Pelodiscus sinensis: one gene and its partner. Each later gene encodes a partner of the first gene's protein in a complex. Links are inferred from orthologs where the notes say so. Each region holds a gene or a part of one and is shown on either strand. Other genes may lie near its edges.

Region 1 (15,347 bases):
TTGCAAAGCCCCTTTGAAGCACCAGAGCAGCACTGCAAAGGGGCTTGGCAACGCTGAGCTGGGGAGCTGATCCCAAGCTCCGAATGCACTGCTCCTTTAAAGTGCCAAAACAGCACTTCAAAGGGGCAGTGCTGCATGGAGCCAGGGGGATCAGCCGGAGTCCCCAGCTGTTCCCAGGCTCCTAACGTGCTGCCCCTTGGAAATGCCACCTTTTGGAAATACCACTGTGGCGCTTCCAAGGGGCAGCGCTGCATGGAGCCTGGGGTCAGCTGGGGACTCCAGCTGATTCCGGGCTCCATGCAGCACTGCCCCGTTGAAACGCCACCACAGCATTTCAAAGGGGAGGCACACACGATTAATTGCGATTAAATTTTTAAATTTCTTGACAGCCCTAATAAACCACGGGAGGCCAAGTTCTTACAGGACCCAAGTGGCCAGACAGACTCCCTAATTTAAAGTTTTAACTTCAGAGTATTGCACACATCAATCAGTTTGGGGCTGCTACTTCTTTACACTTAACTTCTGCACCTGCCAGAACTGGCAGATCACTTATTTGTCTAAGACCTACCCATAGTTGCAGTGCAGCTCCATATGTACTCCACAACTTCCTGGTACAGCAATTCATAGTCCTGCCTTTGCTTTTAGGGAGGAACTAGAGCTCTGTTTGCAGATCTCCTGAACCGTATTTGAAATGCTAATACCATAAAGACGGGATATAGACATTTGTTGGGTGGTGTGCAGATAGAGTGAGCAGCTTCAGTTATTGTGCTCCACAGCAGAGGGGGCTGCATGTTCAGCAGAGGGTGAAGCTACCCCCTTCTAGAGTGCACAACTATTTGCCAAGTCAACACAGAATTACTAGGGAGTATTTGGAACTTTAGGGCCAAGTGGTTACAAAAATCATTCACAATTCAAATGAATCAAGATGGCTGGAAATGCTTGGGGGTGAGGGGAGGGGCTTTCCTCAGCAGCTGGGTCTGGGGCCAGAGGCTGTCAAGTGGAAAGAGATAACAAATGGCAGTGCCCATTAAAGTGGCATATCTCTCCTGCCCCAGGAACTTGTGACCCTCACTGTGGAGACAGAGCTGGGGGGCCAGCCTGATGGGAATAGAAAAAAAAACCAACAAAAAAAAACAAGGTTTCTCAAATTGCCCAGTAAAAGTAGACATTTTTTTCCATGTGGGCATGCGTCAATATCATGACTGATCTAGTGGCTAAAGCATAAACATGGGACTGAGGAGCTCTCAGTTCAGATTTTCATTTCCACCCTAGCAGGCTAAGATGCTGGGCAAGTCACTTTCCTTTAACGTACATCCCCCAAGAGGTGCCTCAGTTTCCCCCTTTGAAATGTGGAGAGTGATGCTTCTCAAGTGAGGTTCATTTAGCACAACCTGAAAATTCTGGGATTTGAAGGGCAGAGTGAAATACAAGTTTGTTTATGGCCAGAGAAGAAATCAGCAACTGGGCAGTTCAGTCATGCATCTCAAACTTTTACTAGCCTCTTTTCCCCAAGGCTAAACTGAAAGTGCTGCAAACACCAGCAGTCCCTAATGCCTTCTTGTTGAAGTGAAAGAAAGCTAATCCCCATCGGGGCTGACAAGGGATTAGAACATGAGCAGGCAGAGAGAGGGAAGGAGCAGCACCTGCTGCTCTCAGGGAGCAAACCTGCCCCAAGCATTCCCCACCATTCCCTGGGAGCCTGAAGGCCAATGGAGCAGGATTGAATTTGGGGGATAATTTGAGCCATTTACCACACACAGCTGAGAAGCTCCTCTGCGTCTCCCCAACTCCCTGGCAGCAGAGTGTGTTGACCTCATTTGAGGCATGATCAACATGGGGACTGATTATCTCATTTGCTTTGTAGCACATGTGTGTGTTCACTGTGTTGCCCTCATGCCCCATGTCACACTTAGAGGGGAAACAAACATCTAAAAGGGAAACAATAATTCCTGTTAATGTGCCAGAGACAACTCCTGCAAAACCCTTACCATCTGCCTTTATTAGATGGGAAAAGGGAAAGGAGAGGAATAGGCTAAAAGATACTAAATAGACAAGCAACAAAGGAGAATTTCTAGTTGATTTTGCACAGCAAACTTTGAATTGTAGAATCCTAGGGTTGGAAGATACCTCAGTAGTCATCGAGTCCACCCCCCTGCTTAAAGGACAACTAATCCCAACCAAATCATCCCAGCCAGGGCTTTGTCAGGACTTAAAAATCTCTAGGGATGGAGATTCCACCACCTCCTTAGGTAACCCATCCCAGGGCTTCACCACTCTCCTAATGAAATACAGGCAGTCCCCGGGTTACATGGATCTGACTTACATCGGATCCCTACTTACAAACGGGGTGAGGCAACCCCGCACTAGCTGCTTCCCCCCAGCAGACCAGGGAGATGCGAAGCTAGCGCCCCCCCGCAGCAGACCAGGGAGACACGGAGCAGCTTTTCTCAGCAGACACCTCAGCTTGAGAATAAAGGTCTGAGGGAAGTGAGGTGTGGGAGAATAGAACTGAGCTCTGGAGAAATGTTTGGCTAGAGTTTCCCCTACAATATGTACCAGTTCCGACTTACATACAAGTTCAACTTAAGAACAAACCTACAGTCCCTATCTTGTACGTAACCCGGGGACTGCCTGTAGTTTTTTCTAATATCCAACCTAGACCTCCCCCGCTGCAGTTTGAGACCATTGCTCCTTGTTCTGTCATGTCACCACTGAGAACAGCCTCTCTCCATCCAGTTGAAGATTGCTATCAAATCCCTCCTCGCTCTTCTCTTCTGTAAACTAAATAAGCCCAAATCCCTCAGCCTCTCCTCAAGTGTCATGTGATTTAGCTCCCCAATAATTTTCACTGCTCTCCACTGGACTTTCTCCAATGCATCCGCACCCTTTCTGTATTCGGTGCCGAATAAAGGGGAATAATCACTTCTCTAGATCTGCTAGCAATGCTCCTCCTAACGCACCCCAATATGCTGTTATCCTTCTTGGCTACAAGGGCGCACTGTTGACTCATATCCAGTTTCTCATCCACTGTAATCCCCTGATCCTTTTCTGCAGAACTGCTGCTTAGCTAGTAAAGATAGGATAGTGTAAACCAGGGTTTCCCAATCTATGGGTCCCCATTACATTTCAAAAGGGTCACCAAGTGTCTCCCCAGGTGACTCTGCCCTCCCTCCTCCCCCCATTTTTGAATTGCCTTGGGTCACCAAGTCTTCCTGAATTGTCAAAATGGGTCCCCATCTGGAAACGTTTGGGAACCGCTGTTGTAAACAGCGGCAGCAACACTGAAAGCGGGGACAGGCAGAAGCTGGTGCTCACAGGGAGTCAGCTTTTAAGCTGGCTCCCCATGAACACCAACTCCCACAGAGCTGCCTGTCCCTTCCTGAGCCCTGCTGGCTCCTCGCAAGCACTGACTCCTAGCTGTTCCCCATGCCCCACACTGCTGCCTCTGAGGGGGGCAGCTCTGAGGGAGCCACCTCCCCCCTCATATGTAAACATGAAAAATTCAGTGGTAACAAATGTTTACAAAGATAAATGCATTTTAACATCCCTATTAGCCAGTTGGTCCCCAGCCTGTAACAGTGCTTGGGATTCTTCCTTCCGAAGTACAGAACTCTGCACTTGTCCTTGATGAACCTCATTAGATTTTTTGGCCCAATCCTCCAATTTGTCTAGATCACTCTGGACCCCATTCCTACCCTCCAATGTATCTACCTCTCCCCCTAGCTTACGGCAATCCATCCCCTTATCCAGGTCATTAATAAAAAAGTTGAACAAAATCAACCCAAGGACTTTGGGCACTTTGCTTCATACCAACCACCAAACAGATATTGGGCTCAACGGGTAGTAATCAACAGCTCGACAATCTAGCCAGCTTTCTATCCACCTTACAGTCCATTTATCCAAGCCATACTTCTTTAACTTGCGGGCAAGAATACCGTGGAAGACTGGATCAAAAGTTTTGCTAAAGTTAAGGCATATCACGTCCACCACCTTCTCCATACCTACAGAGCCAGTTACTTGGACACAGAAGGCAGTCAAGTTTGTCAAGTATGACTTGCCCTTGGTGAATTCATGTTAAACTTAAGTTAAAACCTTTTTGATCTTTCATATAGGCAGAAAAACCCCAAACCAAACCCAAGCCAACTTACAGGATGCTGCCCCTTCTTCTGCATATGCATTTGGAGATTCCATGCTGCCCATTTCTATTTTAGGACTTTTGAGTGGCAAAACTTAAAGTGCTTCCAATATACATCAACTAATCTTTGTTTACCCCCATGAGGCAGGTGGGTCTTACTTTCCAGATAGCTAAGTGGAGTACAAAGTAGGGATGCTAATTTTGATTAATCAGCTAATCAAGTAGCTGATAAGGGGAGAGTGTAGTGCTTGCTATCCCCGTTGCACCTCTGCCTTTTAATGGTAGACAGAGCTGCTCCAAGGCTCTTACTACATTTAAAAGGCAGAGGCACAGCAGTCGGGACCTGGTGCGAGTGGAGACTGCTTCAGTACCCCACTCGTGCTGTTTGCCCTGCTGCACCTCTGCCTCCCCTGCCCCCTGCGGAGCTAGTGCTCGGGGGAGGGGGGAAAATCGGCTTTTAAACTAGCTCCCCCCAGCACTGTCTCATGCTCCCCCTCCCTTTGCTGCTTCTGATACAGAGGCAGCAAGAGGAGGGGGAAGTGACTAGTGAGTCAACTATCCAGTAAGCCTAGGCTAATTGGGTAGTCGACTAGTCGCTTATGTCCCTAGTATAAACAAGACTTCTTGGTCACAGAGGGAATTAATAATGGCACTGGGAATGTAACCTGCTTTAACTGTAAGGCGGTACTTGGACACAGGGGCAGCACCTCAATCATGCCGTTTATCCTACACAAGCTTGCAGATGCATTTGCATAAAGGAGGGAGCTTTCTAGGGTGATTACAGGAGGGACCTGAGATCCAGGATTTCGTGGGTACAATTCCCAGTTCCCCCACTTTATAGCCTTCAGTTAATCCCTCAGGTACCATGAGCCTCCACTCCTCAAGGCCCTCTGAGGCACAACCCGCACAGGCCATCCTTCTGTGCCAATGCACCATACACACCCCGTCAAGGGCACATCAATCACATCCTGCGCAGAGCCTGACCCCCCCTCCACACACTCCAGCTGGAATCCCATCCCTGCCACAGCATCCTCTTCTGGGGGGCTCCTGCCCAACTTAGGGGTGAACAACCCCTCCCCCCCAGCCAGCTGTCCCCCCCCGGAACTGATCCCCCCTTCTGACCCTCTGCTCCCCTCCCCGCAGCCGAGGGCACCTCCCCCCACGCCCATCCCCCCTCTGCTCCTATCCCCCCCCAGAACAGTCCCCCTCCCCCCCACTGCCAGGCTCCCACGAGCTGCTCCCACCCCCCCTCGGATCCGCCCTTGGGCACCTCCCGCCGACTCACCCCGTCCGCCTCCCCGCAGGGCTAGTTCCGCCAAACTCCGGCCGGGCACAGCTGGGGCCTGTCGCTCGGGGACGGGAGGGAGGGCTCCGGGCGGGAGAGGCTCCGCGCCCGCCATCCAATCACAGCACACCTCGCGCACCCTTTGGCCAATCCAAGCTGGGCAGGGCGGTGAACTGGGCGGTCACATTCTGGATCCATCCCCTCCATTTCCTCTCCCCCTTCGGGGCGCAATGGAAGCGTCCAATCTAAGAGAGTGTACGAATATGGGGGAGGAGCAGGCAGATACCATCCCAGGAGAGCGCGGAGCCCGAAAAGGAGCGAGAGTGGGAGCTACCATTCAGAGGTGGAGTTGCAAGATACTATTGAAGAAGGAGGGGGGACCCCCAGGAATTGTCATTGTTGACGTTGGCTACAGGAAACACCTACCAACCAATTCTGCCTCGGCAGCTTTTCCTGGCCAATCACAAGCAAGAACATAGAAAATAGCCAATCAGAAACTGGTAGGTGGAAGAGTTGGTAGAGTACCTAGACCAGGTGCATTACCCATCCTCCCCCTCCCCCTGCCTAAAACAGGGCTGTAGAGGAAAGGCTACAAATGATGCAGACCCAGCGGCCTGGTACGCGGATCAATACCTTCTCGTTGGTTCCTTATTGAGAGACGAGGTGAATGAACGAATATTGTTATTGGCTCAACTTCCGTTTTTAAAAGCAATGAAGGGAGGCATGCATTTGACATTCTCTCAAATCGGTATCCAGTACCAATTCCAGCTGACGTGAGAAACAGATGGGACAGTTATTCAAGGTTGAGACGTTTAGTATTGCATTTCTGAGCTTCCCGTGAGTACTTGTAACTAACAGGTGCTTTTTAAGGTGAACCTTTAATGATGTTTAGCTTTTAGCAGATTCTCTGCTTGAGTGGGTAATGGTTAATTGGTACCCGGGAGCAGCCTCCTCAAGCGGAGGGCTGCTTCAGACCTGCCGGCTCCGCCTACAGCCGCTGAAAGCTAGCAGCCCCATGCAGGACCAGGAGCTGTAGCTTTGCTTAGGCTGGGAGCCAGCAACTCCTGCCTGTGGCACTCCAGCCCAACCATGGTGGGGAGGGGCCCCCTTTAACTGATTAAACAGGATAATACATCCCTAGTTCCAACATTACTTTCCATCCCCGTTTCTTCATCTTAGCTTTACTTCACACCTACACCTCTTCTCTGCTGCCCCCACTCTTGCTTCCTTTCCCATTCAGCTGACCTGCTCCTGGCTAAACCCATCCAAAAGAAAAACTGTTAATGGAACTGGTATTTGCTGGTCTCACATAGTTCACTTTGCTTATTGTATTTCTTCCTCCATCCACTCTGATTTTGTTTTATTTAGAGCAGAAACTCTGCAGGATATCTACTGTTTGCACAGAGCCTAACCTAGTGGGACCCTATCTCAATTGGCCTTTATGCAGCAAGCAAATTGTATCATCCGCTGGCTGAGCTAGGAAGTTGCTGGGGGCCTGAAGACCACATCACAGCCACTAATTATAATACAGGTGCAATCCACTGCAATACCCTTTATGATACTGAGTGCATCGTGTGCTGGTTCAGGTAGTTTCATGGGTATGCAGGCCTGGTAGCTGCATGTGCGCCTTAACAGAATTTTCAAGGGTCAGAATGATCATGAAATGCTTTGGGTGAGCTAGACAGCAGCAAATTACATCTGCTTTCTGATCCTTCATCCAACAACCCTATACCAGAATCCCCCTTGAATATACAGCACGAAACATTTACCTGTATAAGAAAAGTGGAGTCTGACAGGAGTTGGATTTGTACAATTTCATTGTGTAAAGTTTCCACTCATGAAGACAGAAGGAGGTAGGCGCAAGAAACCTGGCTCAATACAGGGTTTTGATTGACTAAGCTTGAGGAACATCCTTAACAGTTATATAGAAGCGTGGAACATGGGATAAGGACATCAGATTTCATGTAGCAGTCTCACACAGAAACTGTGCCCTGGTGTGGTGTGAACTAGATCTAAAAACTGCTGCCCCTAACTTCCCAGTCTCTCCCCGATTTGTTACCCTGACGGGAGTAAGCTTTCATTTCCCAGCTATACACATAAATATGAGGTAATAATTGCTGTGCTACAGCAAATTCTCAAACTTATTAATGGATGTCACACAGTAGATATCTATCCTGCAGAGCTTCTGCTCTGTGAGACATCCATTAATGTAATGTCAGTCACTTCTATATAAGGAACTTGCTGACACAAGAGGTCAGTCTAGTCTACATCCGGTAGATGTAACCACATGGTAGAAGGAAACATGAGCAACTACTCTGCTCACAACCAAACAGGAGGACCAGAACTAGCATGAGGTAGTATCATTGAGTACCCAGTGAAGAAGACATGATTACAGAGCAAGGAAGCAAAGTGGAAGTAAAACCCACAGAGAAATTAATACAAGCAGCTGCTCTTGACAAAAACAAGGAAGAAACTGCTAGCTGAGATACAGCACTGGAAAAGAAAGAATAGAGAACTTTTTAGGTAAGAGACACAGCATATTGTCTATTGCAAACAGGAATCGGAGAGAAATTTATACATAAGACTAGCTCTAGTAAAATGTCAGAAGTACAACCAATTCCCCTTCCACACTTTATTTTATATCTTGAGGCTATGATGTAGATTTAACTGTTCTCCTACATCATACAGGCAAGGTCAGTAACAGTTAGGACTGTACATTCCAGTTAATCAGCTAAATGTTAGGTTGATGTAATATTTAGTCACTTAACTGAGCAGGAGCTGGGCTAGGGCCTGCTCCAGCCTGTGCCTAGGCTCCCCAACCCCCTGAACAGAGGCTATTGCGGATGCTGGAGCAGCCTGTCTGCAGGGTGCCAAGGCTGCCACTGACTGCTCTGCACAAGTGCAGCCCCTGCCTGCAGTGGCCAGGGAGCTGCTCCAGCCCCCACCAATCAACCAGAACTCATAAGCATTACCTATTTAAGCTTTCACATGAGGTAAGTAGTTTTAGAAGGGCAGTATCTTTGTTATGGAGCAAAGCCACCGCAGCTATGCATGCACTTTGAAATGGCATCTGCTGGGGGGAGAAAGAGATGGGAGCTAGCTTGGCTCAACTCAGACAAATGAAAGCAGTATAGTGCGAGTGGCCTGGAAGCTCTCCTATAAGAAAGAGGTATAGAACATCACCTTAAAGATGTTTTGTGACGCAAAACAAAGGAGGGCTAGAATAGCCTGAGTAGAGAAGCCCTAGCTTCCTGGTCCCTGCTTGCTCTAAGCTTTATTGTAAAAGTTGTGCACCACAGTTTTACAGCAGTGTTTCAGGACTAGTGCAGCTGTTCCAGCAAGGATCATGCTGAAAGCAGGGTAAAGAAAACATTCAGCACTTGAGGGTAAAGACCTATGTTCCAACCCTCTGAACTGTGACTGTCTGTGCCACTAATTCCGTTAGACACCACAGTCCATCAATGAAAAGTGCTAATACATTTTTAAAAAAGTGTTAATCACTCAGCCAGTATTCAACAAGAATAAATTCTAGCAGTGTTTTCCCATCTCTCTGAATTTTTAATGACATGTGTAGGTAAGTCCTTTATTCCAGACATCTAATCCTACCTGACATGCTTAGACTTTGAGTAGATTTTAATTGTGACAGATTAATGTCAAAGAGCTATCAGCTTGGCCATCCCATTACAAGATCACGGCCCAGGCAGTGTAGGATCATGCTCTGCCATTGGTTTGAGTAAGCATGTCATCACACCCTCTTTATCAGTGTAATCAATCCTGTAAAACAGCAGCTACCATAGTTTGTATTACACACAAAGTATACACATGAAGTGCCATAGTGCTCCTGTATCAGGAGAAAACCCTTTTTATCAAAAAAGGATAACTTGGGGGTAGTGCTACCAGTTCACAGTCCTGGTTTGGGGGGGGGGGGGGGGGGGGAAGAATCCAGAGTCCATTAGCGTACTGAATAAGTCTTTAACATGAAATTTGATATTCATCCTGCATGCAGGGTTAGTAAGACTCAGCATCTTCCTTAGGTACTATGTACCTGAAATGAAAAAAGGCAGCCCTGTATTTGTTCACCACATGACCAGGATCCAGACTAAGAGACCTTAAAATGTCTGGGGGACGGGGGAGAGAAGACTTTCATAGAGGGAAAACTTCAAAACGCATTACACTTGAAATGTAAAAAAAATATGTTTTCCCCCTAGACTAGACCTTGTTAACTTTGGTAGTTAGCCAATGTGTGAGGAATTTAAATTTAAAGGCTTACATTCTGAAAGACATTTAGGACTTCTCTAAGCTGTGACTCTCTGGAAACATTAAGGTGAAACACAAATTGTCTTCCAACACAATTGACAAAGAAAAAACTGATACAAAAAGCTTTTAAGCATGACAATGACAACTTACAGAACTAAAAATACCAGTTAACATTTAGTGTGTCCCTGTATGAAAAGCCTTCAGTATAGGAAGCGACAAGGGACACAGCATAGTACAACACCAAGGCAAGATGGAGAGTCTTTTACTTGCAAGTCCAGTTTTAGATTTGTTTCACCCTTTCCAATGGGGAAACTACAGCTCTGCACGAGAGATGAGGTGAAACAGATGCTCAGTCTATGGTTAGTCAGTTAAGTGAAGGCAGCACATGGAGCAGTTGGGTGGAAACTAGTCACCAGAAGAAAGGTTTGACCAGGAGATACAGATTCCTCCCACAAGCAGCTGCTCATTGATGTAAATACTTCAAGTGATGATCTGGGACTAAAGTCACTGAAAAGCGAATACACAATTTTCAAGATGGTACTCTTGGGGAAGAGTTTCAAAGTCCACACCCTCCACTGAAGAGAAACCCTGAAGTCCTGGTTATGGTCCAGTAACCTTTTGCTTTGGAAGTGTCCTTGTTTCAGTTCTCCATAAGCAGCCTTGCTATATTGGCAGGATCTGCTCTAGGACACTTTTGGAGGCCTGTGGAATTCTGTCTGGAAATTTTACTTCAAATTCTATAAAAAGGTCCCCTCGCTGGTCTGGATTCTTGGGATATGGGAGACCCTCTCCAGGGATTCGCCGCTTTATCCCAGGTTTAATGACATCCTTAAATACCATTGGGATGGTCCTGCCATCCAGCGTTGGCACATTCACTGTGCAACCACACAGGGCCTAAATATAAAAACAGGGAAATTAGAACAGTGTCAACATATACAATCTCTAGCAGATTTCCCAAACAACCAAATAGAAAAATGTTTCATTGCAATGGCCTGTTTATTCCAATTTGTTTCTTCTGAGTTACTGATGCAGGCACAGAGTAACAGTACCAGAAATTGTACAACTATGTTATATATTTGTACAACTGCTTGACCCACATTGAACTTTCAGTATCCAAACTGACCCACATCATTTTCAAAGTAGTTGCCAGTGATCTGCCATCTCTAATGGTGGTTTATACCCTTTGATTGTTCCACAAGGAAGTATCCTGAAGCTACCATCTTATTTTAGGCAGACCACAGAAGAGTTAGGCAGGTATCCTATTATGGATTAAAGCCAGATACGAAACAGGGTGCAGATAGATCTCAACACTTGTCACTTCCACTAGCCAAAACCCAACCCAATCCACCCACTAATCCCATACTGAATCTGGAACCTTTGCTTACCTCACGGAGGCTGATCTTAGCTGGGAAAATAATGTCAGATCCATCTCTCTTAAAGACATTGTGTGGCTTGTCTTTTAAAACAAAGACAATGTCAGCTGGAATGTTGTTTGCTGTTTGGTCCCCCTCTTTTGGAAAAGTAATCTTTGTTCCTTCTTTCCACCCTCGTTTGACTTCAATGGTCAGAATCTTGTCCTCATTCCGTGTGGTCTTCCCATCTGTATTAAGTCGTTTGTGAGATATTTTCATTTTCTTGGTGCAACCAGTATATATTTCCTCCAAGGAAACCCTCAGTTCATGAATGACAGGAGGGTCTTGTTTTTTGCGCATACTTTCATGGCCCGAGCGGGAACGAGGGAAACCCATATTACTAAAGCCCCCCATTTGAAATGTGGAGAAAGGGTCATCAACATCCATGTCTTCATCTCCATTCCTTTGTACAAAAAAGGTATCAAATGGGTTCCTGCCACCAAAGAACTCTGCAAACATAGCATGAGGATCTCCATGAAACGTGTAGCTGAATGAGGTACCATTGGAACTTCCGCCACTGCTGGGACCACCTCCCTTTAGTCCTGAAAAAACAGAATGAATATAATCCAGTGATTACTCATAAGAATTTATTAAACTCAAGATTTACCAAATGTCTCCTATATCTTTCTTAATTTCAAGACTCTCCTCATTCTTAGATCCTGGGAATGTCATTATTTAGAACTTTAGGTTTGATGTGCATCACCAAAGAGGCCTGCTGTCATCTTAAAATGGTGTCAAGATTCAGACCTCCCTAGTCAAAAAAGAAATTAGAGCCAAGTTGAAGAGCTCTTCTCTCTCAATTACTGAGTTTCCTAACATAATAATTTATAATCAACTGTATTCCTTTAATTGGCATTAAACCTAGCTCATCTATATAGAGCCATTGTAGCAAAAATAATTTAATCTGAGTGCCTGGAGACTACAACTATATTCTTCCTGCTTCAATAAAACACTGTTACGGAGCAAGTTTCATAATTTAACATACACAGGCAAACAAATACAGTATATTAGAATCTTCTAGTGACAAGCAAAACCATTCTGTAGTCAGCTCCGCCTCTTCTGGAAAAGTGGCCTATCAGCTCATATGGGGAAATCATTAAGTATTTACAGGAAAGGCAATGTAGAGAAACAAACATGGGAAGTCAGCAACTGAAAAGCAATTCAAAACACAAATTTTGGAAAATAATTTAAGGGAAATTATCTACAATTCTATTAGCTGGAAAAAGCAACTATTTTTAAAAAATATTAAAAATCATACTCTTTCAGCATCAGATGTTAACAGTTGAGTTGGCCAACCTAGCTGTTTAAATACAGAGAAATCTAGCTCCCTTGTTTGAGTAATCTAAATGGATGAGACTACACCCTAAAAAAAAAAAAAATCTGTACTAATGTTAAATTAGAGATTTGATGCAGACTTTTAATGCCTTAATTTGGAGGAAGTCAGGCAGGCTTTGCACATGGACTTCACAATAAGTCTCCCAAAGAGACTATTTTCCTTCCACTATTTGATCTGAGGAAGTGGGTCTGGGCCACGAAAACTCATTATCTAATAAACCATCTTGTTAGTCTTTAAAGTGCTACATAGTCCTGTATTTTGTTCAAAAGAGTCTGACACTTGTGTTTTATTAATAGTTTTAACAGGCTATGTTATTAATGCAACAGGACGCTCTGAGATAAAAGAAACTGGCTAATTCCTAAATTCACTAATAGGACTAGTTCTACTTCCTTTCACAATTAGCTCTGTACACATCTCCCTGTTACTATGAGTCTTATTTTTCTGACAGCCACTTCGCTATCCCATGCTACTGACAGTATCTACAGGCTACACGGGAAAGCTGAATCCCTTTACTGTACATGCCCATTCAGGGTTCAGTACTGTTCCCTGAAAACCAACTAGATGCACTCCTTTCCAGACAAAAATGAATGAATTTCAGAAGCAAAGGATTAAAGAGAGACTAGCCACTAGTAAATACTTTGCTTCTCTGTCACTCCCTGGATTGCATCAAGAAAGAAAACCACTCCATCTTGTGTGTAAGAGATACACAGTTCCCTCTCCACAAAGTTTGGGAGTGCCCCATTAGGACATATGTTCCTCTTCCCCAATCTTAGTGCTACCCCTCACTTCATGGAAAGTACTTCCAGAATACCCAGCAGCATGACATTCAGCTATTTCTAACCACCTCCTTCCTACCTATCACCAGGTACTAAGCTGCATCAGAATGTCCTTCCCACGGGTATGCGGTCTTCCCCGGAACAGGGCCTCCTCGCACAGAGGCTCTGCACCCCAAACCTTAGCGCACCATCCCCCTGCTTACCAGCCCCCCCCAGCGCTGCACCGCTGAAAGACAGCCCCCCCCCCCGCCTTCTTCCCCAGAGCCCCAGTGTATAGGGCGTCCCCCTCCCCCCATCACGTCAGCGCCCTTCGCCACACCACGGGGGCAGCCCCCCAATTCCTGCTGCGCAGCCCCCCCATCCACAGCGAGCGACACACGCCCCCTGCCCCATCTCCCCCACCAAGCTCTGCCGGACCCCCCCGCGGCCCGCGCCCACACGCCGCCCCTCACCTTCCTCGCCGAACTTGTCGAAGATCTCCCGCTTCTTGGGGTCGCTGAGCACGTCGTAGGCCTCGGCGATCTCCTTGAAGCGCTCCTCGGCGCTCGGGTCCTTGTTCTTGTCGGGGTGGTAGCGCAGCGCCTGCTTGCGGTAGGCCCGCTTAATGTCGTCGTCCGAGGCGCCCCGGGACAAGCCCAGCGTCCGGTAATAGTCCTTGCCCATGGCTCCCAGCTGCGCGTCTCACACCCCGTCAGCGGTTCCCGTCACTCCAGCGCGGCGCCCGCCGCCACCCCCCATTTATATGACGGGTGGCGGAACCTTCCAGAGCTCGCCACAGCTCTCCAGAACCTTCCCCGCCCGGACCCCGCCTCCCGCCCGCCTCCCCCAATCACAGCGCGGGGCCTGCCGCTCTCCGCCAGTGGGGACAGAGCCTGCGTCACGTGACCGCACACTTACCCCCCCCCCAGAGCTTAACCGTCGCTGAGACCACGCCCCTCACTCGTCATCAAGTGAGGGGTGGGAAGGGGACAGAAGCGCGCGCTGTGAGACCAACGGTCGTTGCCGGTCACTGTCCCGACTCCCCCCACTCTCTCAGGCCGCGAGCCTGGTGGGACCAGTTGCCGACTCTCCGAGCGTTCTCGCCCCGCCCCCAGGGGGGGCGGGGCCGAGCTGAAACCCTAAACATCAATTCTGCCTCGGCTTTCTTTTGCATCCTAGGCACTGACCACGCCCACCGGCAAAAGCCACGCCCCGGGGTGGGCCTTTAGCAAGGAAAGGAGCAGTCTGGAGCCACGCCCCCGCCCAGTGCATCCCTCATCCCATGTCCCACAGCCCCCACCAGCATCCCTCACCTAAGGTCAACCCCCCCCCCCCCCCCCCCCCCGGCTAGTGGCACCCACCCCATCAGGTCTCACAGGCTCGCCTTCCCCTCCAAAGGCGCCGGTCATTAGGGATGTTAAAATACGTGTCATTTGGTAAACGTTCGGTTACACGCCGGGCACAGCCAGCTCCCAGGTGCAGGTGTGTGCTGGGAACTGAGTACAGGCTCCTGTCTGTTGCCCCCCTCTGCTGCCTTCACCAGAGTGCAGGGCAGCAGGAGGGTCCCTGAGACCTGTGTGTAACTGTTTGGGTAACCAATAACTTACGCTTACGCTTGCAACCCTACTCATCCGGATTCCAAACCTGTCACCTCCTCACCAGGGACATCCAGCCCTGGATTCTGTTTGTTCAAGTTTATTAAAGGACTCCCAGAGGGGAGATAGCACAGGATGTTTGGGAAGGGGAAGGCAAAGGTCAGAGTACCCGAGCTTGCAGAAAGCTGGAGCTTATATTATGCAAGTCAGAATGGCCATAGAGTACCGCACACAGGACTCTGAACCCAGCCCAAAGGGTGCTGCAGAGCGATGAGGAAAGAGAGGCAGGGAAATGCATGTAGGCAGGGCCGGATTAAGGTAATGAGGGGCTTAAGGCTAGTGGGAGGGAAGGGCCTAAGTATGAATTATATATTGCAAAAAAATTATGAAGTCATCAAACATTTATCTTTATACATATTTACATAAAACTAAACATTTATTCTACTCCCTACACTCAAACCATTTCTTCCCACTTTAGCTGTGGAAAAATCTGAATTATGTCATCATAGTTCTCAATGCTCCAGAAGCACAAAGCACTGAGATGCTCTTGAGTCACAGTGGATCAGAGGACA
Region 2 (15,655 bases), on another chromosome or scaffold:
CAGAGTAAGAATAAAGGCTTCAGGGATGTGGCAGAAAGGAGCTGGGCTGAATGAATCTTGTGTTTCTCCTAGGGGTCTTGGTCTGGGACCCAGTGTAGAGGATGGGTTGGCTTCCCCTACTGGTTGTTGGTATGGGTGTGTGGTCCCTGAGAAGGAATATGGACCTTTTGGAAGCCCTGAGAAAATCTCCAAGCCCAGAACTGAGGGTAACAGACTGGGTGCAGGGCTTGGCCATCTGTTATGGGTTTTCTTTGTTTTGTTTTTTTTACTAGACTTCTTTACCCTAAAAAGGGATGGGGCTAAAGTGTGATGCGATTAGATGACTGGACAACAGCACAGCACTGCTGAACTATAGCAACTGTTGGTAGGGGGCACTAAATTACATCTGTGAATACTTAGTGAATTAATTAGAATGGTTGTTAGGTGCCTATATGGGGACCTTAGGGGAACCTGGACTTCAGCATCTCTATGCTTCAGCTTCCCTAGAAGTCTGTATCAGAGCTTGGATTAGAAGCCTGTGCTCTTGCCACTTAGGACTTCTGGTAATAATGTTGCAGTGATACCCAGCAGCCCACGGCACAGGAGACCTCTTTAGGCTGAACATATGGAGGGAAAGACAGTTCCTGTTTGGAAGAGCTCACAATCTAAACAGACAGAACCAGGGAATCTTTTTACTGGTGAGAAACTGCAGCATAGAGTAACTTGCCTGAACTCACAGATACGTCTGTAGTAGATGGGGAAACAGAACCTAACTCTCAAGAGTCTTGCAGTGCTGCTTGAGCTGCAAGACCACCTCTTTCTTCTCCCCAAAGAGCTATAATAAGTGATCTCATAACCTACAAAAGTATTTCCATTGCATTAAACTAGAACTTCTGTAGATTCAGATCTACCAAATCTATCCCTGTTAAATGTTCACCTCCATTGTTAACAAAGAAAATAGTTTCCTGGTAAGAACCTGTATTTAGGCAGCTCATCATTGCAGACAAAACACTGAGGCTGTGTCTACACTGGCGCGTTCTTGCACAAAAATGACTGCTCTTGTGCAAAAACATGCCGCCTGTCTACATTGGCTACGTTCTTGCGCAAGTAAACTGACATTGTACTGTAGAAAATCAGGGCTTCTTGTGCGAGAACTCTGACACTCCCTCTCAGGAATAAGCCCTCTTGCACAAGAGCTCTTCCAGAAGAGGCCAGTGTAGACAGGCAACATGAATTTCTTACACAAGAAGCCCCTATGGTTAAAATGGCCATCAGAGCTTTCTTGCGGAAGAGAGCGCCTACACTGCCATGGATGCTTTTGCGCAAATGCACATACCAGTATAGACGCTCTCTTGTGGAAGAGTTTTTGCACAAGAACTCTTCCACAAAAGAGTTCTTGAGCAAGAAGCTGCCAGTGTAGATGTAGCCTGAATGTACTAGCCTGATGGGTGAAAGAGGCTACAAGGGACTGCCTGTGTTGCACAGCCTGTGATGCTCTGTATTGCACTGAAAAAGGCTAATCTATGAACACGAGGCTTGAGGAGAAAAAAAATATGATTCTATTAAAAACTTCTCAGGGTCCCAATAAATTGCTATTTTGCTAAGAGGAGCAGTGAGGGCCTGCAGCTCAGTGCTATCAGAACCATGCTGTTCCGCCATGACTTCTCTGCACTCACAGCCACAGCTGTAAGGGTTTGTTTGCAGCAAACCTAAGCCCACTCTCTAAATTCTGTTTAGTGAGGAAGATCTGTAGCAAAGAGATGCTGTCTTACTCTTTCTGATAAATCACCTAGGCTAGCCATATGAAATCTGCCTGGTTGCACTGTAAACAGCTATTGCAATGCAAATTCATAAACTAGAAACTCAGTCAATGATTGTTCAAAGATTTGCTAAGGATTGAAAATAAATTGGTCTATTTACTGCCTTACCATTGTTTGAGTGCCTTGAAGTGCAATAGGCAGGTCCTTAATTGATACAATATGTATGATGAGGCCAATCAACCACAAAGAGCTTACAATCTACGGCTACATCTACACTGGCATGATTTTCCGGAAATGCTTTTAATGGAAAAGTTTTCCATTAAAAGCATTTTCGGAAAAGCGCGTCTAGATTGGCAGGACGCTTTTCCGCAAAAACACTTTTTGCGGAAAAGCGTCCGTGGCTAATCTAGACGTGCTTTTCCGCAAAAAAGCCCCAGTCGCCACTTTCGCGATCGGGGCTTTTTTGCGGAAGACAAATCTCTGCTGTCTACACTGGCCCTTTTGCGCAAAAGTTTTTTGGAAAAAGACTTTTGCCCGAATGGGAGCAGCATAGTATTTCCGCAAAAGCACTGATAATCTTACACGAGATCGTCAGTGCTTCTGCGGAAATTCAAGCGGCCAGTGTAGACAGCTGGCAAGTTTTTCCGCAAAAGCAGATGATTTTGCGGAAAAACTTGCCAGTCTAGACAGCCCCCCTGTGCAAAGCTAGGCAAAGGAGAGAAGATGTGGGAGCAGCAGATAAGCACAGTGATCAGATCCATATTAGAGACAATTCCTGCTGAGTTCTTTTCTTTTTGTTCTTGTTCCAACCCCATTCTCCCGTGAGCCACATTTCCCTCTCTGCCCCACTTCTATCAATGAGCCCCCTCTCCTATCAAAAACCTATAGACACAGAGAAAGGGCATTTCAAGGCCAGAAGGGACCACTATAAACATCTAATCTGACCACACGGACCACAGAACTTCTCCAAAATAATTCCAGGAGCAGTTCTCTCATAAAAGCTTCCTAGCATGATTTTTTAGTAAATTGTTCTAGTGGACAATCACTCTGTTTCAGTATGAATTTGTCTAGCTAACTTAGCCAGTTTAATTTAGTCTGTGTGAGGACTGGAGAGGTTGTGGGGTTAAAGGCCTCCCCTGTGGCCATCCTTCCTCACTGTCCAATGTGGCTCCTGCTGATCTCTCCCGCCCCCATCCATACCCTTGGGCTACGTCTACTCTGCAGAGTTTTTGCTCAAAAACTCACAGAGCGGCCACACTACAAGCGTGTTTTTGCACAAGAAAAAGTACAGTAGATTGTCAGAAGACAGGGCTTTTTGCACAAGAGTTATTCCTCTTTCTAGAAGAGCTCTTGAGCAAAAAGGTGTGTGTGGATGGACTACAGGGGTATCTTGCACAAGAAACCCTATCGGAAAAAGTACAGGTGCTCTGATGGCCATCCTGTGAATTGCCATCAGAACTTTCTTGTGCAAGAGCACCCTGGCAGTGTGGACACTCTCTTGCGCAAAAGTGCATCTCTTGCACAAAAGCACATGACAGTGTGGATGAACTCTTGAACAAGACCTTTTTGTGGAAGATATCTTCCGCAAAAAGTTCTTGTGCAAGAAGCCTGAAGTGTAGACGAAGCCCCTAGGAATGGAGTGGATATGGGATGCCGGTGGCAGATTTGGACTTAACTTAAAATTTTCACTCTCTTATGTTTGCAGGTGAAACTCATCAATTTTGAGTGAACTTTTGCTTTGAGATTGGTTTCACAACTCAGACAAATGGAGGTCATGTCAAGCCCAAAGCACACCCACATTACAGCCTGCCACAAAAAAGAAGATGAAGAAGAAACTTCTGAGTTTTGCACAAATCTACTCACAACACTTCTATCTACCTCTCTCTCACTCCCACACACACACCAGGCAACACTTAAATCAGGCTTGGGAAACTGCCAACCATTTCCAGATACTATTTGTACAATAAACAAAAAAAAAATTTTTTTTCTGATTTCCAGGTGCTCCGTGTACTAAGCTACAGACACTCTCTTAGAATTTCTATCCCTAACATAGCGACCATGCTACGGAAGACATGGTGTGAGAGACAAACAGCACTGAATGCTGGAGAACTCACTTGATTCTAGGCAGTGTCACACATTGAATGACGTGTTATATCTAGAAACCAGTCTCTTTCTTTCTTTCTTCCAAATGGTCAGCTTGGTGGGTTATTTATTTGGGTCTGCTGAGTCAAACCAGTTCATTTCCAACATGGAATTGTGAGCTGTCCCCCTAAAGTCAAGCTGTGCTCTGGTAGCTTGCTGCTAAAACCAGGAAAATAAATAGATGTTTGTACTCAGCATAGTAAAAGGGCTAGACACAGAGCCTGCTGTTTGACAATGTTGAGTCAATATAACCTGAGTAAGTGCATGAGTAACTCATGTTCTCTCTATAGAACATCTGTGCTTGGGTAAATATATTTATTAATGATTAAAATGGTTTTGAGTTGTTACACACACACACACACACCTTTCCTGCCCCCACACACACTTCCCCCTCCCCCTGTCTAAAAAGATGTTATCTTTTAACCTGCATAAGTGTCAAACAGAAACAGATTCTGGCCGGGGGTAATTGTCCAAATTCAGAGGCATAGACAGGTTTTTTTTGTTGGTTGTTTTCGGACCTTCATTCCTTTCTGAACAAAGAAAAATACTACGAGCTGCATAGTGGAGATTAAAACTCCTCTATTAATAGCATTATCTGAACATATTCTTTAGGGATTCCAATTGCACTAGTAATAATGGGAATGAGCATTTCTGGAAAAAATCATCCTCAAAGCATCTCGTCAGAGGATTGTTTCCTGACAACAACAAAAATGAAATATTTACCTGATAATCTTGCAATACTACCAATATTTTGGCTTAAACTATATCAGTGTAGGAAAGTAGTCATTACAGTAAACTGGAAGTCAGGATGCTTGGCTTTTAACCCTGACAAGGCCAGTAACTATATGCTTTTGGGCAACTCACTTATTCACCTGGGGCTAAATTTTCAGATATTACTTGTTATTTTGGTTGCCTAAAATTTTGGGTGTCTAATATGAGGTCCTTTAAAAGGGTCATCTCATTTGGAAGGAGACCAGATATCGTGGTAATGAGTGGTGGTAGGAAACCCTAAAAAAGACAGATTATGGGATGGGGCTCCCCAAAAGAGAAGCATTTACATAACTCGTCAATTTTTTGGAAAATGAAGACCTCCATGCTTCAGCTTTTCCTTCTGTAAAATATGGATAATGATACTTACCTGCCTCACACTTAGGGCTTAATTAGCCAGCATTTATAAAGCCCTTGACATCCTAGAATGGAAGGTGCTAAATATAATGTAGTGTTATATTTTAGAGCATGAGTTTAGTTCTGGGGAGTTAATGATACTCTAGTATTTAAAATTTGAAAATAAAAAACCCCAAACAATCTTTTTAAAAAGAACCAATATCTGTAATGGATAGTTATGATTAGCAAGGACAATGAGTTAATGAGAAAGCACTATTTAATTCTATGCACATCTTCAGTGAACATCGCATGGTTATTGCAGTTATGTATTAATTAGTGCTCTGAAATGGGTGAAAGGGACATGAAAGGGGTGAAGGAAGCTAGCAGGTGTAGAAATGAGATTAGACAACAGAGGACATTTCTATCCAGAATACGAGTAATCCAAAATCCCCATCAGTCTCAATTATATGTTTTGTATAAGTGAAAATAACTGAAGTAACATGAGAACAGCCCAGGCACAGGGATGGCTCCCGATATTGAAAGAGAGGCACAGAATCTATTAGTATGAGCCTGCCAGGAGTCTAGTGACCAAACATCAGACCTAACTACCTGCCCCTGATCTATGCATGGTTAGGCCTCTCAATGCACAACTCACACCCTTCCCTAGTGGAAGAAGGCACCAAGATAATACATATAAGTATTATTTTATTTACCATTTGGTTTATTTAAGGTGTGCTAGAGCTTAAGCTGTACCAGAGCTGTGTCATATCAACACTACCATATGGCTCAGAGTGCTGGCAGATGACAGAGTGCAACCGTGCCAAACTCTCATCCTTTCACACCACCAGCCTTCGTAAGATACATTGTTTTCGGCCAAAAAATGCAATCTCCAACCACGACCTGCTCCTGCGATGCCACCAGGAGTTCATGACAACTATCATTATGAGAAAATGCTGGAGATGGATAGGGCACGTGATGAGAAGGGAGGCAGATGCCATTGTAAAGATAGCACTTCACTGGACGCCTGAAAGACGACGGAAACATGGGAGCCCCAAGACAACATGGCGGCGTACTGTTGAGTCAGACATGAAGAGAATGAATTACAACTGGGACACACTGGAGAAAATGGCCAAAGACAAACAAAAAATGGAGAACCTTCGTTGCTGCCCTACACACCAGCGGGCGTAATAGGCATTAACTAACAGATTATGTTTCCAAGATTTTTTTCAGAACCACAAGTGATAGAAACTTTCCTAGAGAAACAAAGATTCTTACACTTCCAAAGAACTGTGGGGACCAAGGCCTTAAGATGTACAGCAATTATTGTGACAATATACAACTACAAGAATGAAGGACACTTCAGTCCTCCTCTGATCTCAGAGATGACGCTCGATAAGTCTGTGGCTCCACACTGGGGAGTGAGCAGACAAGAAGTGGGGCTTGGAGCTACCTCATTTCCTTCCAGCTTAAGTTGAAAGAGTGATAAGACAACCCAGTCCCAGGACAATCTTACCCTTCTTCCTCTGATGGAACAATTAGGAAGAAATCTTGCTGAGATTTTCTCCACATTAGTGTTATCCTGCTGATTTTCCTGAGGGAGAAAACAATCAGCCCATTGTTAGCAACTAGTGATTATATTAAATGAGTTTGGTATGGGTTTCAGTTTATTTTCAGAGGATGGGTGCTCACATCACACACACAAAACTTCTCCAAATTGGGAAAATCTGTAGAAAGGTCAATGAAAGTGAAAGAGAGACTGAATGCCAGGGCATACATTCAGCCAATATTGGCATACAAATACCTCTTAATTCTGATCTGTTTTCATTCAAAAAAATAAATCAGTTTCTAGCTAGTAGGAGTGCACAGTAAACGTTATCAACATGCACTCGGTAACTGAGGCAGAGATCTCTATGTCAATCTGCAGAAAGCCTGCAGATTAGAACATTAGTTCTAAAACCCTGAATTTTAGTGAGGGGTAAACTCAGAGGTCTAGTGATGATAATTTGTGTCAAAATTGTTAACTATTTCATTCTACATGTAAGAGGTTGTCTATCTTGTAAAAAATTTCCATATATAGTGGTATAAGTATATAGTTAAATCAGTATAACTGTCTTGATTTAAACTCCATGTAAACATTTAGTCCAGTATCAGAGTTGCTTTTTTGCAGTGGAGGGGTTCTTTTAAACCTATCCTAAAGCAATAAAGGTACTTGTACACTGGAATGGGGGTCCATGTAGGCATTACGCTAGTTTCACTATATTAGTTTAACTTCACACCTTAACTAATATTGGTATAACTTTTCTGTGTAGAAAAGCCATCTGAAAGAAGAGAGAGGACCTCTGACCTGCACAACTGAGTGTTATCTCCATAGGGTACCTAATGCAAATAAACCAAGCACAAGATGCCCAATGGAGCTCAAAGAATATGCACAATTATAATTTGAACACCTGCACAATCTACTGTGAGCAGCAACTCACAGGTGCAGAGTTTATTTTGTGGGTGCAGATGGAAGAGGTATACTACCCCAACCCGATCCCTACTAAGCTCTCATTCCTAAGTCTTCTTGGATAGGATTCAGGAACATTATCAGAGCAGTGTCAGGGAATTCTGCTGCCTGTGCTATACCTGCCCTGGGAATGAGTAGAAGATTTCAAGCTTGGGGGATGTCAGCTTTTCTTGAGCACATTAAATAAAGAGCAGCTCAGTGCAAACACATCTCCATTGCAACAGAGGGAATTAAAACAACAAGCAGTGCATGGCGCCAGTGACTGAAATACAGTGGGATTGGTAGAGATCCCCCCACCCTTACATACTTGAAATATTTGTCCACTTAATTTATCCCTGACCCCCAACTCCAGACAGTCTGACCTCTCTTCTTTGTTATCCTTTCTTGTACAACTTCTTTATGGGGAGTGCAATACTTCAAGAGCACTGAGAGTTAACCTATTTTGACTGTGGGAAGTGGGGGGGGGGAGAGGGAAGACTGGATAGGAGTGGGTCGGCAAAAATGAATGTTGTTTGGTTATTTTTACTTATGGTTGCAATCTTGCTTTATGTCCGGACGAGAAAAAGTTCTTATCTCCCTTTCAGTCCCATATTCTGATTAGAAACACGACCCCCCCCCCCACACACAAACACAAGAGTTATTTGTTAGAAGAGCTGCTATCAAGGAACAAGGGCTGTCTCTTTGTGTGGTTGGCTGGTGCGACGTTTGCCTTCCAGCTTTTGGAAAATATCTTTAACTTAATCATATTCACATGACAAACCCTAAATTAAAAAAAAACACACATCATGAGTAATGCAGAAAGGAGAGAAGCGAAAGAGAGGAGAAGTCTGAGAGCGGCGGATCGCTTCACAGGCAGAGCGGAGCTGTCAGAGAGAGAGAGAGAGAGGGGGGAGGGTGCTGCTTTTTGCAAAGACGAGATCGGGAGTTTAACCCCATCCGATCTCCGCGCTGGCGAGAAGAGAGAGAGAGAGAGGAAGGTCCAGTAACCAGGCAAAGGCTGCGATTGCAACAAAAGCTCCGGACTTCCCTCCTGGCGTCACTCAGTGCTGAGGCGTGTTGGCTTCGCAGGAAGCAGGTTTTCCTCCCCTGGCTTTGCAAAGCCCCCTTTCCCGTGGAGCCTCATGCACTCTGCAGAGCAGCAGCCCAGGCGGCAGGATGACTCCCGGGGAGAGAGGCGCTAAGGTGCTAACCCCCCTCCTGCTGCTGCTGGCCCTCCTCGCCAGCCCCAACGCCGGCCTGGAGGTGCAGCACAAGTTCCTCTCGCCCACGTTGACCAACAACTTCGCTCTGGACGGGCCGGGCAGCAAGATCTACCTGGCGGCTGTCAACCGGCTCTACCAGCTCTCCGGCCCCAACCTGACGCTGGAGGTGGAGGAGCAGGTGGGCCCGGTGCCGGATAACCCCCTGTGCCACGCACCCCAGCTGCCGCAGGCCTCCTGCGAGCACCCCAGGCGGCTGACCAACAACTACAACAAGATCCTGCAGCCGGACCCGGAGCAGGGCATCGTGGTGGTGTGCGGCTCCATCTACCAGGGCTTCTGCCAGCTGCGCAGCATGGCCAACATCTCCGCCGTGGCCGTGAGCTTCCCGCCGGGCAGCGCCAGCGGCGGCGGGGAGCCGGTGACCGTCTTCCCCAGCATGCTCAACGTGGCGGCCAACCACCCCAACGCCTCCACCGTGGGGCTGGTGCTGCGGCCGGCGGCGGGGAGGCGGGACACGCGGCTGCTGGTGGGGGCGACCTACACGGGCTTCGGCAGCCCCTTCTTCCCGCGCAACCAGAGCCTGGAGGACCATCGCTTCGAGAACACGCCCGAGATCGCCATCCGCGCCCTCAACGCCCGCGGCGACCTGGCCAAGCTCTTCACCTTCGACCTCAACCCCTCAGACGACAACATCTTCAAGATCAAGCAGGGCCACAAGGCCCGCCACAAGCTGAGCTTCGTGCGCGCCTTCCTGCACCCCGCCCCGCCGCTGAGGGGCGCCGCCTACGCCTACCTGGCCCTCAACAGCGAGGCCAACGCCGGCGACAAGGAGAGCCACTCGCACAGCCTGCTGGCCCGCATCTGCCTGGCCGAGCCGGGCCGCAACGCCAGCGCCGGCGAAGCCAAGAAGCTGACCGAGTCCTACATCCAGCTGGGGCTGCAGTGCGGGCCCGGCGGCGGCAGCGGCTTCACCCGCCTGCTCTCCGTCTTCCCCGCCGCCGCCGCCCTGCAGCTGGCGCCCGCCGGCGGGGAAGGGGCCCGGCCGCAGGAGCTGCTCTTCGGGGTCTTCGAGGGCGCCGCCCCGCCCGGGGCCCGCCACAACTCGGCGCTCTGCGCCTTCCGCTTCGCCGACATCGAGCGGCGCATCCGGCAGGCCCGGCACTCGTGCTTCGTGGAGCCCGACTCCGGGCGGGTGGACGTGCTGGACAGCGTGGTGCAGGGCACCGGGCCGGCCTGCGAGAAGAGGAACATCCAGGTAGGCGGCGGGGGGCTGGGATCGGGCCCCCCCCTGGGCAGCCTTGTGGTGGGAGGGAGGCAGCTCTGGAGACGCGCCTGTCGTTAGTGGGGACCCCGCTGCCCCGCTCAGGGGAGCTTCAGCATCCTCGCTGATATTGGATCTCAGGAGTGGGGATTCCTCCTCTGGGATGGGGAGCGAGACTCCTGGGATGTTGCAGTTGCCCACCCTCGTGGGGACCCAGGTAACAGCGGAGTCCAGGAGAGCAGAGTCCCAACATTAGGAGAACCACTGAGAAAGTTCGGAAGGTGCCCCAGATAAGGCCGCAGCTTAGTTTTCTAGGATGGTGGGACACCTCTTCTGTAGAGGGTGAGAAACTGGAAGGTTCCCTTTCAAGGGCCGTGGCGCAGGGAGCAGATATGTCCCTGTGGAAGATCAGAGTGCAGAGTTGGGGAATCCCTACTGGGGAGAGCCCCTAATTCTGATAAAAGTGCAGCTCAAGAGAGCAGATTTTGAGGCAGAAGGGGTGTGGTTCAAGGCACTATAACCCCCTGTCGGTGGAAAAAAGTTAGGTAATCCATGTGATACTACACTACAGTGAGATGATTTTATCCTAGGGAAACCACCTGCTGGCAGAAACCCAGCTGTTTAGTAGATGAGAGACTGTAAAAGGCAACCTAGAGCTCTGCAGGACAGGGCTCAGCACACCCCAAACAGACAGTGTGGTGAGCCCCTGCTGATATCCAGCAGTGCATAGACTGGAATGCTTGGCTGAGACTGGATTCTCCATGGTCCCAATCTTGAAGTTATTACTCAGGCAAAACACTTTTAAAATCATTGTAAGGACTTTAGAATTGGGTCTCATGTTTGGATTAATAACCGTGAACCTTCTTGACTAGCTGAGTAAGTGATAACAATCCATCAGGTTGAAGTCTGGTGGGATTTGAGAATCATGGAAGTGAGAGGCGGAAAAGATTTATTAGTTTGTCCATTGGAATTGTTCTCTTCAGTCCATTCTCCGGTGCTTTGTCTAATCCAGTGTAAACATCGAAAGTGATACAGCTTTCACATATCTGTGTATCTGACATAAGCATTGTCGTATAAATGCAAATTAGAGATGGGATTCAGTCAGAAGCCTGCATGTGAGAACCACTGGACTTTGGGTTGGTGGTGCTTGGAATCAGAACCAAAAGCCTGACCGGAATGTTATAACTAGTCTCAGGCCCATACGCATTTCTGTGGGGGTATGTGCTTTTTTTGTAAATGTGGACCACAAGGGTGTAAATGCACCCCAATGGTCCCCCACATAAGCTGGGAAATCAGCCCCAGCCTTCCCTCAGCTGGTCAAAGCATGGCTGTGGGAGGCTCAGACAGCTCACTGCTCCTGCGGAGTATACTTACTTAGGGGACCATGGGGGGTGCTTTCGCACCCTTTGCACTCGCCCTGTGTACAGGCCTGAGTCTCTGTGGGTGTGAACTTGCACACTGTACCCCATTAAAATCTGTTGCAAATCTCCATAGACTTCAGTGATGCATATCAGGCTCTAATGGTCTATCCCAGACCTTAGCACCTGAATCCCTGTCAGACTTTGGATTTGGGTGATGGTTGAGAAAGAGTATGTCAGCAGCCAAACCCAGACCTCTCTCAGAGGTTTACAGTAGTATGAAGCCAAACTTCTGCCCTGGATTGAAGTGGGTGTTAGAATTTGTATGTGGATTCTGCATTCCCAGGACTGTCTCTGTTCAAATCCATCTCATAGCCTCCTCTGATCCATCACTATGAGTGATTCTGGTTTATGTACACAATTTAGAAAATTGAGGAAGACATGCTGAGTACAATAAGCTCCTTTTTGGCAATGATTTACATTAATTCAGTATCCATGTGTAAATTTAGGTTCATTGTGACAATCAATTGGATTCCTACGTGGCTTACTATGAAGTCAAACATGCAGTGGTTTTTGCATACATACAACCACCCCCTCTTTTATCAAGGACCATCTTTATTCCCACGTTCCCTGTCCCCAGTGAACTAGTGGTGACTCACAGACTTTATTTTTCTCTTTCTTTTCATTTGTTGCTCTCTGTACAGACATGGAGGAAAGGCAGCTCTAAGAATGTGTGTTCAGTTGTAGCTGTTCTCTTCCCACGTCCCTCTGTATATTTCTGCAGCAGGACAGTGCAGGATGTGTACAGTACATAGAGAGGGAACACAGGCTGAATTGTTTCATTGCATTTGGTGTGCAAGTTTACCATTGTCACAAATTGTTACTAAGTGGACATGAATGTTAATAGAAGCAAGGTGGGAGGGCAATATCTTTTATTGAACTAAGAGACAAACAAGAGTGCAAGAGACAAGCTTTTGAGCTTTACAAAACTCAGGTTGGAAATTATCACTCGTGCCCACTTTATTTTAAGTGGTTTCTGGCAACATATGTTTACTGGATGTTTAACAATTTGTCCCATCTTGTAGTTAGCTGGTTACATTTTCCAGATCTGAATATGAGCTCTCTGAAGTTTGAAAACATTTCACTCCCATCAACAAAATTTGGTCCATTAAAATATATTACCTCATCTGCCGTGTATCCACGTATCCTGGGATCAACATGGCTACAAAGACACTGAAATATAAATTTTTATGCCGGATAAAGATGCCTATTTTCCCCTTTAGCAAAAGTCACAAATTATTAAACAACAGAGCTGCTTTAGCACTGTGTCTTTTTTTTCTTCTGCTGGGAAAAGGGCAAAACTTGGCTCCATCAAAGATTATAAAAACATCTGTTTGATTTCACAGGCAAGACAGAGCACTTGGGTTTGGCTTCTGTGCTTCACAGTGCAATGATAGAAAGGTTTCCTATGGTAACCAGTCTGTTTGGCAACGGCAGCCCCATACTAAGTTACAATAGGTAGCCTTAATGCCGTAGTTCATAGACTGGCTTAGGGACATTGAATTGTTTTCCTTTGGTGGCAAAGTACAAGCTGCCAGACAGCCAGAAAATCTGGTAACCATTGTGGCTTTTAGTTAATGCCACAAAAAGACACAGTGCATTAAATGGTGTGGATCCAGTCCTAAGGGCTTCTGCTCCCATGGTAGCCAGTGGGAGTTGAGGGCCTGATTTTCCAGAGCTGTTGAACACCTACACTTTCAATGATTTCCACTGACATGCTGGGTATACTGCTCAGTATCCCTAACAATCAGGCCCTCAACACTTTTCAGGGGCACATTGTGAGCAATGACTGCAGGATTAGGCAACAGTAGCTGAGATTTTCCAGGGACACTGAGGGTATGTCTACACCGAATTCCTCTTTCGAGAGAGAAATGCAAATGCAGCTGAGCGAAATTGCAAATGAAGCGCGGATTTGAATTTCCCGTGCTTCATTTGCATAATTGCGTCCGGGCTCTATTTCAAAATACCCTATTTTGAAAAAAGAAACGCTGTCTAGATGCGGTTATTTTGAAAGTAAACCCTTCTTTCGAAATAACCCTTAAACCTCATTTTATAAGACGTAAGGGTAATTTCAAAAGAAGGGGTTTCTTTCGAAATAACCGCGTCTAGAAAGTGTTTCTTTTTTCGTAATAGGGTATTTTGAAATAGCGCCCGGACGCAATTATGCAAATGAAGCGTGGGAAATTCAAATCCGTGCTTCATTTGCAATTTCACTCAGCTGCATTTGCATTCCTCTCTCGAAAGAGGAATGCAATGTAGACATACCCTAAGGGTGTGTCTACACAACAGAATTTAACTCGAACTATGTCAATTGCGTAGCTTATTTTGAAATAGCTTATTTCAAAATTGGGAGGGTCCACACAGAACTTATTTCGAAATAGAACACTCTTCCTCTTCCCTTACTCATACAATGAGGTTTACAGGAATTGGAGTAAGAACTCCAGCTTGACAATATTTTGACATTATTTCAAAATAACTGCCTGCTCTGTAGACATGGACTAAGTTATTTTGAAATAACGCTAGTAATTTTGAAATAATGTTGCTGTGTAGTTGTACCCCAAGGAGTTAGGTGCCCAACTTCCATTGAAACTCAACCTGGCACCTAACTAACTTCCTCAGACTCCTTTGAAAATCCCAGCCTATATGAATAGTACAGATTTTTTCTGATTTATAGTCACCTGGAGGCAACAATTAATAACAATGAATAAGCCATTCTTTATCAGCACTTAAAATATCTGGATTTTTTCCCTCTGTAAAGCGCTTTATACATATTAATGCTCCTCTCAAGCCTCTATGTGGCACTCACGTTAATGTATTTATTGCTGTTCATAGCATGATGATGAGATTTGCCCTAGTCTGCAGATGAACTCAGTGTCAGAGCAAAGATGAAAACTAGGGTTATAGTGTAAAGCAGGTGACTTCTCTTCAGGGACTGACAAGATCCATCTTTTCTTTTTAATTAATTTTTGTATTGATTCAATGATTGCAGAAATGAATGCTGTACTCAGGATCTTATCTATATGTAACGATGACTAAGAAGATTATTTGTTCCATAATGAAAACTTATTAAGAATAGTTATGTTGTTAGAAGTGTGGTTAAACGATTTATGTGGCATTTAGTGGCAGAAGCCACAAGGTTTTGAGTTCCCTCAGCTTCCATTGAAGTCAGAGTTGAATTACTCAGCACCTGGCAGGATCAAACTGTATATTTTCATAAGGGGAATAGGATAAGTTAGTGATTATAGTTTAGGGTTGGAAATCAGGAGAACCAGCTTCTAATCCTGATACTGACTATCTGTATATCCTTGAGCAAGTTGCTTCCCTGTGCCTCAGTAAACCAATCTATAAAATTATCTTACTGTAGTAACTGAGCTTTACTTCATTGGGTGTTAATGATTCCTGTTTTGAAGGTGCTTTGTATTCCTTGCATGGAAGGTTCAGCAGTACATAAATGCAACATACTATTAATATTTGTTCCTGCTTAATATTTGTTCATTTCCCGTTCACTTGAAGTGCAAATCTCTAGAAACGTTGACCTAGTCTGCTGGAAGCTCTCTTACATGCCATTTAGTTGGAAGAAGAGCTTTTCAGTTTTTTCCACTTTTTTCTTAATCATAAGGATTGCCAGCAAGTTAACAAGCTGCTTTTATTTCAAACTCCCCAAGCAACTGTGTCAAGATGAGGGTTGTAATATAATGTTTCTTTGCACTGAAAAAAAATCTAACACCAATTTCTACCTTCGAGACAATGAAATGGTCTAATACATTTTACATCCCAGCCCTGGGAACACAGCAGGAAAATATATTACAGCTGCTGCTGGCATGGTGTTTTAGCTAAGGGTCTATCCATGTTTCTATTATAAGCTCCACTTTTTCAGCAGTTAGTGGGTTCCCAGGTTTGAGGGGTGGGGTTGTCCACATATAACACAAATGTGTTTAAGTTTTTCTAAGTGGTTCTATAGATTATAGGGGAGGTTTAAATGAGTTTAAAAAAATCTGAAATGACTGGCTGATTCATTGCAAACATAGGTTACAGAGATTCTGTATTACAGCACATGGAATGAGTAGTGTTATGGGGGGTGTTGATTGGAAAGAAGTCCAGGGTTCAGTCCTGAAAACCTTGCTCATATGACTAATCCTGTTGAAGTCAGTGGGACCCACAGGAAAAAGACTGTTTGTGTGAGAAGTAGTGGATTGTGTGGTCAGGTCCTTAGACTGTAAGTTATTTTGGAGGCAGGAACTGTGCTTGTCTGTAAAGCATCATGCACACCTATAGTGCTGTAT

What was found.
Region 2: the proteins of GIPC1 (region 1) and PLXND1 are in contact, whole or in part, in a crystal structure (PDB 5V6T), measured with the Mus musculus proteins. The link is inferred for Pelodiscus sinensis from reciprocal best matches to the Homo sapiens genes GIPC1 and PLXND1. Residues at the interface, in NP_061241.1 of Mus musculus: His61, Glu141, Ala142, Leu143, Gly144, Leu145, Thr146, Ile147, Thr148, Asp149, Asn150, Gly151, Phe156, Lys158, Arg159, Arg190, His191, Tyr192, Glu193, Ala195, Arg196, Leu198, Lys199; in NP_080652.2 of Mus musculus: Glu1400, Met1889, Glu1893, Arg1899, Gln1902, Gln1904, His1905, Glu1908, Ile1918, Tyr1919, Cys1921, Tyr1922, Ser1923, Glu1924, Ala1925.

The regions. Positions count from the first base shown.
Region 1 is NC_134729.1:10,601,350-10,616,696, forward strand, and holds the start of GIPC1 (PDZ domain-containing protein GIPC1), read right to left. Parts: upstream 5,572-15,347; 5' UTR 5,421-5,571; intron 1-5,420. Other genes in the region: DNAJB1 (dnaJ homolog subfamily B member 1), read right to left, coding at 10,341-10,571, 11,063-11,631, 13,654-13,864. UniProt on the Homo sapiens protein: May be involved in G protein-linked signaling.
Region 2 is NC_134721.1:20,124,925-20,140,579, reverse strand, and holds the start of PLXND1 (plexin-D1), read left to right. Parts: upstream 1-8,477; 5' UTR 8,478-8,646; coding exon 8,647-9,948; intron 9,949-15,655. UniProt on the Homo sapiens protein: Cell surface receptor for SEMA4A and for class 3 semaphorins, such as SEMA3A, SEMA3C and SEMA3E. Plays an important role in cell-cell signaling, and in regulating the migration of a wide spectrum of cell types.